Coturnix japonica: one gene and its partner. Each later gene encodes a partner of the first gene's protein in a complex. Links are inferred from orthologs where the notes say so. Each region holds a gene or a part of one and is shown in the gene's direction. Other genes may lie near its edges.

Region 1 (4,559 bases):
TCAATCTTCATCAGGTTGAGTATTAGGAAACATTTCTACTCAGACAAAGTGGGAGGCAGTGGCACAGGGTGCCCAGGGAGGTGGTGCAGTCAGCATCCCTGGAGGCGTTGGAGAATGTGTGTGTGTATGTTTGGTGGCCCTGCCAGGCAGGGGGTTGGAACTACATGATCCTTGAGGTCCCTTCCAACCCGGGTCATTCTGTGATTCTGTGAGAACTGTGTGGATATGGCAGGGAGGGATGTGGGCACGGCGGGGCATGGTGATGGCTGGACTTGTGATCTGGGCAGCCTTTCCTAACCTTAATGGTTCTGTGGTTGATCGTATTGAGAACTGACACGATGGGTCCTTTCACCTAAGTTGCTTTTTCTGCAAACAGAGCTCCGTGCTTTTGTAACTGTGAAGGTAAAGTGAAGGTTAAAAGGTTTTTCTGAGGATAGGGGGGAGCTCAATCAGAACTTCTCTTAAATCAGCCTTTTGTTAATCAATCTGTTAGAGTGAAATACAACCAACTTGGCTCTGCCAAGTCATCCTTTCCACCTGCTGATGGCTTCCTGGTGTCACACAGAACAACAACCTGCTCTGTTTGGGCCATGCTGTCAGCCAGCAAGGCTAGAGGTGTCTTCTGCATGGAAAAGCCCAGCATCCCAGGTGCTCCAGGCACTGAGCAATGCTTTAGAACAAAACTGCTGCACCCAGAGAAGCCCTAAGCACCAACCAGAGCAGAAATGAGACAGAAGCAGAAAGTCCAAGCGAAGGAGCCATCAGCAGAGGGGCACTGAAGGTCGGTGGGGTGAGCACAGGGCAGAGAGGCGCAGGGCTAAAGCAGCCCTGGCCATGGATAGCACGGCAGGTTGCAGGAGCCTCCCATCAGGCGCTTGGGGCTGTTGTGCCGCTGCAAATTCAAGTGAAAGCAGAGCTTTGCAGACAGGTTTTACCGTGTCTTCGCCCATATAACGAATACTTTCAGACTTCAGCCCCACTCCTTCTTTACACGCGTTCTCGCCGTTTCCAACCCAGCGACATTTGTGAGCCGAGGGCTGCAGCGTCACCAACCGAGATCCCTCCCGGACCCCCCCTCCCCATGTCCTCGTTCCAAGCCACAAAACGAAGACGCGGAGCCGCTCCGTTCCCATCCTCCTGCCTTCAGACGGGGACCCCGAGTGCAGACGTGTGGGGAGAAGCGCGTACAGCGGGGGGCAGCGGGGAGGTGCGGCCGGACTCAGGTGCAGCGCGGCCCCGGCCGAGAGCCGGGGGGCAGGTGACGGGCCCGGCCGCGGGTCACCTCGGCACTTTCCGCCCTCGCTTCGGCTCCGTCCGCTCCGCGATGGAGAAATGGGAGGGCGAACGGGGGGGAGCCCGTGGCTCGGCGCCGCTCCTTCCGGGCGGGCGGGGGGTGGTGCCGCTCACCTGGTGCCGCCGGCGCTGGGGATCGGCCGCCTCGGGCCGGGCGGGAGGTGAGCGCCCCCCGGACCCGCCTCGCCCCCCCCGCCGCGCCGACCGGCCCCGGCAGCGGCGTCGGGCGGGCACGGCAGCGGGCGGCGCGGTGAGGGCGGGCGCGGGGGGAGCCGGGGCGGCGGTGATGGGGAGCGGAGCCCCGGGCGGGGAGGGGGGGCTCGGCGGGAGGCAGGGCGGGACGGGCGGCGCGGCGGGACGCCTGACGGCCCCTTTTGTCTCTGCCCAGGGTGTTCGCGTCGCTCCCGGCCTCTCTCCCCGCCCCCGTCTCGTCCGCCCCGCCGGGAGCGCTCCTCCGCGGGCAGCGGCACGGCCGCCTCGGGGCGGGCGGCGGCGGAGGCGCTGCGGGGCGCTCCCGCCATCCACCCCGCCGCGAACATGGCGACCGGCGGCTACCGGAGCGGCAGCACCACGGACTTTCTGGAGGAGTGGAAAGCCAAGCGGGAGAAGATGCGGGCCAAGCAGGCGCCCACGGGACCCGGCGCTGCTGCTGCTGCGGCGGCGGGGGCCGAGGCCAGGCCGGCGGCGGGTCCTACCACGGCCGAGCCGCACCAACACCTGCCCGCCGCTCTAACGCCCCCCGCCGGCGGGGCCAACAACTGCCTCGGGCCGGGCCGCGCCGTGCCCGGCAAGGAGCCGCCGCCACAGGGCCCCGCTGCCGGCAGGGAGCCCGCCAAGCTACCGCCCGCCGCCGGAGCGCCCGGCTCCCCCGAGGGAGAGGAGAAGCCGGCGGCCAAGGGGAAGAGCTCCGGCCCCAGCGCCAGGAAAGGGAAGGGGCAGATCGAGAAGAGAAAGCTGCGGGAGAAAAGGAGATCCACGGGGGTGGTGAACATCCCGGCTGCCGAGGTGAGCGGGGCGGGGAGTGAGACCCGAGCGGGAACGGGGCGCTGCGGGGCAGCCCAGGTGTGCGGCGGAGTCAGGGCTCCGAGTGGGTGCTCAGGTGTGAACAGCCCGTTGGAACCCCAAAATATTCCCTTCTCTGGAAATAATGTGGTTGAAGGAGCGTTTTTTGAGGGCAGAGGAAGGTATTTTTTATCAGCCAACACCGCTGTCCTCTGCGGCTCGCTACTGGCGCTGAGCTATAATGCTCCTAGAGGAATTCGGAAGAATGATAACCGAGCCGTCAGCTTTTCTTTTGCTTCCCCCCCCCCCCCTCAGTTAATAGGAAAACTTGAAACAAAGTTGTGTTTTACTCGCAGTGTTGCGTTAATTCTGGTGGTTTATCTCACTGTAGGGAAAACCGTGCAATCTGTTTTCTCTGGTTAATGGTACAGATGGTCGGAACGGCAGTAAAAGTGCTCCTGCAGCAGTAGCAGGGGGTGGAGTTGTGTTCTGCAGCCCCGGAGTCATTAACACTTGTTTCAATCCCATAAACGCGCTCGTGGCGATCGCTTCAATGCAGGGAGGTGCTGGGAGATGAACAGTGAGTGGTACGAGCAGTGGCAGTGTTTGGAGCTGTGTTTCGCAGGGGTTGGTCCTGCACTTGCAGAGCCTACTCTGGGATGTGTGGGTGTGGGTCTTCCTGCTTTGGGAAGGAGTGTGGTGAGTTTCTCAGCTCTCTGGCTTCAGAACCTGCCAGCTGCCCAGGCTCAGATGGTTGATGTGCTCTGTGTGCTCCCCTCTACCCACCTTGTGCTCCTAACTAGCCCTGCTCTATTTCGTAGGGGCTTTGCACACTGCAGCCCCTTCTAGGGCCTCTTCTGCACCCCCAAACTCCAGTCACGGCCTTTCCCCTTTTCCCCTCTCCCCGTGACTGGTGTGTCCTGCTGCTTTGAACTTGTGTTCTGAGCTGCTGTTCTGTGGCTGCGGGTGGTGCGGTTTGGGGTGTGCTGGTGGTTGGGTTTCATGTTTGTTTGTTGGGTTTGTTTTGTTTTGTTTGAATGTTGCTCTGAGGATTCATTGCTTTCCAGGAATGCACGTTCCTTGCTCAGCAACCATTGGAATCATCCGTGTCAGTTTGTTGCTGTAGCTGCTGCTGCCTTGTTAGGATGGCTGTCGTGGTTGAGGTACTTGGGCACTGAGAAGCCCAACTCTCCTCAGCCTTGTGTTTCTGAGGCCTGACTCCTTGCAAACTTCTCTCCATATCGCTGCTGTCTGAAACCAGAGATTAACATCCCCATGGCCTTTGTAGGGTCCCGTGTCAATAAATGCAGCTGGTTGTCACACAGGGTGTTACTGGAGAGACTCGCTGCTACTAAGTGCTGTGCCTTGACAGGCATGGCTTTACACAAAGCTCCTTCTTTTAAGTATTTTACATTTATTAGATGTTTTTAATCATTACTGCCTGCATTCCTGAGCGTTATTTAACTATGGACACCAAGTCATTCCCAATGGTACATAACTTCAGAAGCCCACTGTCAAATATGAATAACTACTTAGCAATGAATGTCTTATTTGCACTGTCTTTCTGTTTAGTCACAGAGGGAATGCTCTAAAGCACTGATTCACTACGCTCAGTTTACGTTCACTGGACATTCTGATGGTGACACTGAATTTGGACAAAAGAAGGCTGTGGTGTAGATGATGACTTGGAATAACTGAGCATGCAGTCTACAGCACTCCAGTTTCATAGAGTCATAGGACGGTTTGGGTTGGAAGGGACCATAAAACCCATCCAGTTCCAACCCTCTTCTGTGGGCAGGGCTGCCACCCAGCAGCTCAGGCTCCATCCAGCCTGGCCTTAAGTGCTTCCAAGGATGGGGCATCCACACCTCCTCTGGGCAGCTGTGTCACTGCCCACTGAATAAAGATTCTTCTTCTAACACCTGACCTAAATCTCCTTTATTTAATTTAAAACCATTCCCCATTGCCTCATCACTATCAGACTATGTAAAAAGTCGGCTTCTCTTGTGATTTTAAAGCTCCCTTCAGGTACTGGAAGGCCGCTTGTGGGAGATGCTTATTGCCCGGGAGCTTCTTGGCCTGGAAAAGAATACAAGAGTGGTTTTCACCACTAATGAAACAGAACCTAATTTCTGTTGTAATACATTTGGAAACTTGAACGTTATGAAAAGTGATGGAAAGTTAAAGTTTAGGTTGTCTTGTATTGTTGAAATAGGCATTAAAAATGTTAGTTCTTCATTAATGATGAATTTCTGTTCAATAGG
Region 2 (3,803 bases), on another chromosome or scaffold:
TGAAACTTTCATTGTGCCGGATTCCTTCCTGGTGGTTCTGGACATGGATGATGGGACGCTGAGTTTCATTGTGGATGGGCAATATATGGGTGTTGCCTTTCGGGGACTTAAAGGGAAAAAGCTGTACCCAGTGGTGAGCGCAGTGTGGGGACACTGTGAAATAAGGATGCGCTACTTGAATGGACTTGACCGTGAGTATAACCTCTGTATTTGTTCTAGTGACTCAAATCTGTGTGCTACTTAAATGTGCTACCAAAATGTCCAAAAAAAAGGATGTTCCTGATGATAGTTGCAGTGTTTGCAGTATAATCCTGGTGCTTCTTTACAGGGTCTCTGAGGGACAGTTCTTGCAATGCCTTATGAAAGGACTTTGAAAATTCCCTACAGGAAGGAGTGGGAAGATTGATCCCTGTCTGAGGAAATGGAATGTCTCATCTTTGAAGAAAGTAGCTTGCTTCTTTCATGGCAGGCTGTTCTCATTTCTAGTGTGGGGGCTGGATACTGTAGCCAGGCCAACTTGCATGCTAGGTCTTTTACTAATAGTATCATCAATCCCTTGCTAAGCTTAGTAATAGGTTCGGCTGGCCCATATGTGCTAGTCTTATCTTTCATGTGTCCTGTCTTAATGTGGGTAGAAAGCAACACATCCTGGTCAGACCAAGGAAAAAGGGCTGTATAGCATCTCCTGCTGCTTAAATGCTTCTGTTAGACAACTATTTGTTCTTATCCAGTGGCATTATAGCTATTCACTGACACTTCAGAGGAAGTTACTTTAAGGAACTTGCAGAAGTCAAAGGAAGTATTTGCTTACTGTAGGGATGTTGAAAAACTGTCTTAATGCTCAGTAAAAGGTGTATTCTTTCCATAATGTTTTTTTTCTTCCTGCAGTCAGCCTTCTTTCCATCAGCATTTTAGCAGATGAGCTTTTAGAGCAGGAGAGGCTGAATAACACTGGAGAACTGCAGTCTTCTGAACTTGAGAGCTCTTGGCAAAGCATTTTCTCACCAACAAAAAGAAAGAACCAAGCTTATCCTGCCACAACAGCTTACAGAATGGCAGCAGCTCCAGTAACCAGGTTTTTGGGAGGGTCAGATCTAAAACTTGCAGCTCCTTTCAGAGCCAGCAAGTCTGTGGAGCTGTCTGTGCAGAACTGCACTTAACAGGGAAACAGCCACCTCCTGTATTGGATTTGGTTGTAATGTGCTCTCGGCATAGGAGTGAATCATGGGCGTAAGGCCAGGAATGACAGGACGCTATTTTGGCACACACAGAAAGAAGGTGTCTGGCTCTAACCACTTCTCAGCGTTCAATAGCTGCACTGTGTCCAGCGTTTGTAGTGCTTGTGAATGGAAGAAGGTCAGATATGTGTGTGCTTTCTCTTCTGGTCTATCTTTGCAAAGACTGGATTATCAGTGCAAACTAGATGAGGACAAAGTTCTTAATCTCTGTGGGAAGATGATCTTCTCAGCTTTTAAGACTGTTAAATGGGAATTATTTGTTAAGTTGATGCCTGTCGGCTTTGAAAGTCCAGACTTTCCAGTTCTCTATGGCTACTGGCCTCTGGATAGATAATCTCAGTCCCAGCTATCTCCATACGGAGCAAGAGGTGTTGGGACAGATTTGGAATAGAGTACGTTTGTACTTCAGAGGGTACAATTTTTAAGGGTAAGCTACACTGGCAAGTGCCAAAGGAGTATTGCCAGTAATAAGTTTCTCTGGTAGTATCGCAGCCAGAACTGAGACGTGTAGTCCTGCTGTACAGAGAGACCTGTGCCTGCCAAAGAGGCAGCATGGATCTTGAAGTAGGTCATGAGCAGGCAAGAGCGGCAGTGCCTTGGGCTGAGTGTAGCTATGCTCTGCAGGAAGGCACTGAGCAGCCCTGGGGCTACTCTCCAGCATAGAACATGGGTGACAAATTGTAGGGCTTGGGAAGGAGCAGCACTGCCCTGACAGATTTGTTTGATTGCTTTCCACCCACCTATTTTTGCAGGAGAGGTGCACTTAGAGAGGTATGATGCCTCATTAATAATGCTTGAAGCATAAGGACGACTCTGGGGAACTGCTACAAACAAACAAACAAAAACACATAGTGACTACTGACAACACTTCTATGTGAGCTTTCCAGTGTTAGTTGTTAACCATGAATCTTAGAGGAAGGGATTTTTGTCCACTTTATTGACCGACTGGTAAGAAATACAGTAACGTGATCATGCTTAGAAAATCAACAGCAGAGAGACCAGGAAAGCTGAAAGCAGCTGCGTGAACAATCAGATTAATTTGGGTTGTAGTAGAAGCTGAAGCTGGTTGGCATCTATCAAAGTTTCTGAAAACTGCAGCTTCTCAGCCAAACTTATCCACAAAAAATGCAAGTCTTTAGGTGTGTTTGGCCTAAGATGTCTCTAAGCTTTCTAATGCTGAGCACTCAGGCTATTAGAAGGATATCCAGTTGCCTATTTGGCTTAGGATGCCCTTGTTTTAGCTGTCTCTTGGTGGAGGAGGAACCCCCTCCCTTTGAGCAGTGTGCTGTGTGCAGGTGAGCTAGGACAGGCTTGGCTTCTCACTGCTTCTGTTGGTGATCTGTATATTCCTTCCATGCAGATGTGATGTGTTCACTCTGGCTCTGACCTCTGTCTCTTTTATGCTACAAATGACTTTTCAGCAACAAAGGACCCCATATACCCTGCCTGAAAAACTAGTATCATCTTGTTCAATTAGTTCACAAGATGCCAAATTAGATGAGCTGAAGCTGCTGATTTGTGAATGCTGAATTGCTTGGGTCTGGTGAACAAGCATCTGCTCATCTTGTTCAGTTTTTGTGGGGGGTGGGAGGGATTTTTAGAGTTAACAAGATGAATACGTAGCTTGTAGGTTGAGATGTTAATGTCTCGTGTCTTCTCTTTTCCAGCTGAACCACTGCCTCTGATGGACTTGTGTCGACGAGCTGTGAGGCTTGCTCTGGGCAAGGAAAGACTGAATGAGATCCCTACCCTGCCACTGCCAGCCTCCCTCAAGAGTTACCTGCTCTACCAATGACCTTCGTGTTCTGGGACAGAGAGTTGAAAGCAAGGCAAAATGTCTGGAGCTGACCCACTGGACAGTGGGTTTGCGACCCTTGTGTCATTGCTACTGTTGGAAATCCTTGGCCAAAGTACTCCTGTTACTGCTAAAAAAATCTCCATGTGCCCTTATTGGCAAGCTCTCGAGTAGTCTTTATTTCATGACTGTTTTGTTCCTTGGAAGTCACTTCCCCAGCACAGTTTAAAGAAGGAAACTTAACAGAAGCTCTGTGCTTCCCTGCTTTACTGATAAAAGGCTGCACTGCATCCTTGGGATCTTAGAGCCTGGGAGTGGGCCCTTCTATATCAGTTTAAGGGAAGAACGTAGGCTGGGGAAGGGAAGGCACTAAGAGTGAATATCTTAAGACTAGGTGCTAAGAATGGAAAGGCATGGGGTGGCCAGTGGAATTGGGAAGAGTCTGGAATACCAAGAGGAAATCATTGCTGAGTTCTTAAAAACCAAAAAACCCTGACACCAAAACCAAGAACCCTTCCACCAGGATGCTTAATTTGGAGGAGGTGGTTGTATTGCTCGTGTCTGTCCCTGCCAGGACCTCTCACCATGTTCTAATGATACTTCATAGAGAGTGAACATTGCTTTCCCTTTCATCACCATCACCTTCTCATTTCTCCTGCTCCATTCTCCATCTTGCTGCTTCTGAATGGGTGTCTCAGCTGACTGAGCAGCCGCGCCATGTCTTCACCTGCCCTCTTCCTCTTGAATTGAAGCTGTTTAGGTTTTAGTTT

The links.
Region 2: the proteins of PAWR (region 1) and SPSB1 are in contact, whole or in part, in a crystal structure (PDB 2JK9), measured with the Homo sapiens proteins. The link is inferred for Coturnix japonica from reciprocal best matches to the Homo sapiens genes PAWR and SPSB1. Residues at the interface, in NP_001341661.1 of Homo sapiens: Glu68, Leu69, Asn70, Asn71, Asn72, Leu73, Pro74; in NP_079382.2 of Homo sapiens: Arg77, His78, Pro79, Val80, Ala81, Gln82, Gly110, Thr111, Tyr129, Val216, Trp217, Gly218.

What each region holds. Positions count from the first base shown.
Region 1 is NC_029516.1:35,911,897-35,916,455, reverse strand, and holds the start of PAWR (PRKC apoptosis WT1 regulator protein), read left to right. Parts: upstream 1-1,703; 5' UTR 1,704-1,830; coding exon 1,831-2,298; intron 2,299-4,559. UniProt on the Homo sapiens protein: Pro-apoptotic protein capable of selectively inducing apoptosis in cancer cells, sensitizing the cells to diverse apoptotic stimuli and causing regression of tumors in animal models.
Region 2 is NC_029536.1:2,840,147-2,843,949, forward strand, and holds part of SPSB1 (SPRY domain-containing SOCS box protein 1), read left to right. Parts: coding exon 1-191; intron 192-2,905; coding exon 2,906-3,033; 3' UTR 3,034-3,803. UniProt on the Homo sapiens protein: Substrate recognition component of a SCF-like ECS (Elongin BC-CUL2/5-SOCS-box protein) E3 ubiquitin-protein ligase complex which mediates the ubiquitination and subsequent proteasomal degradation of target proteins.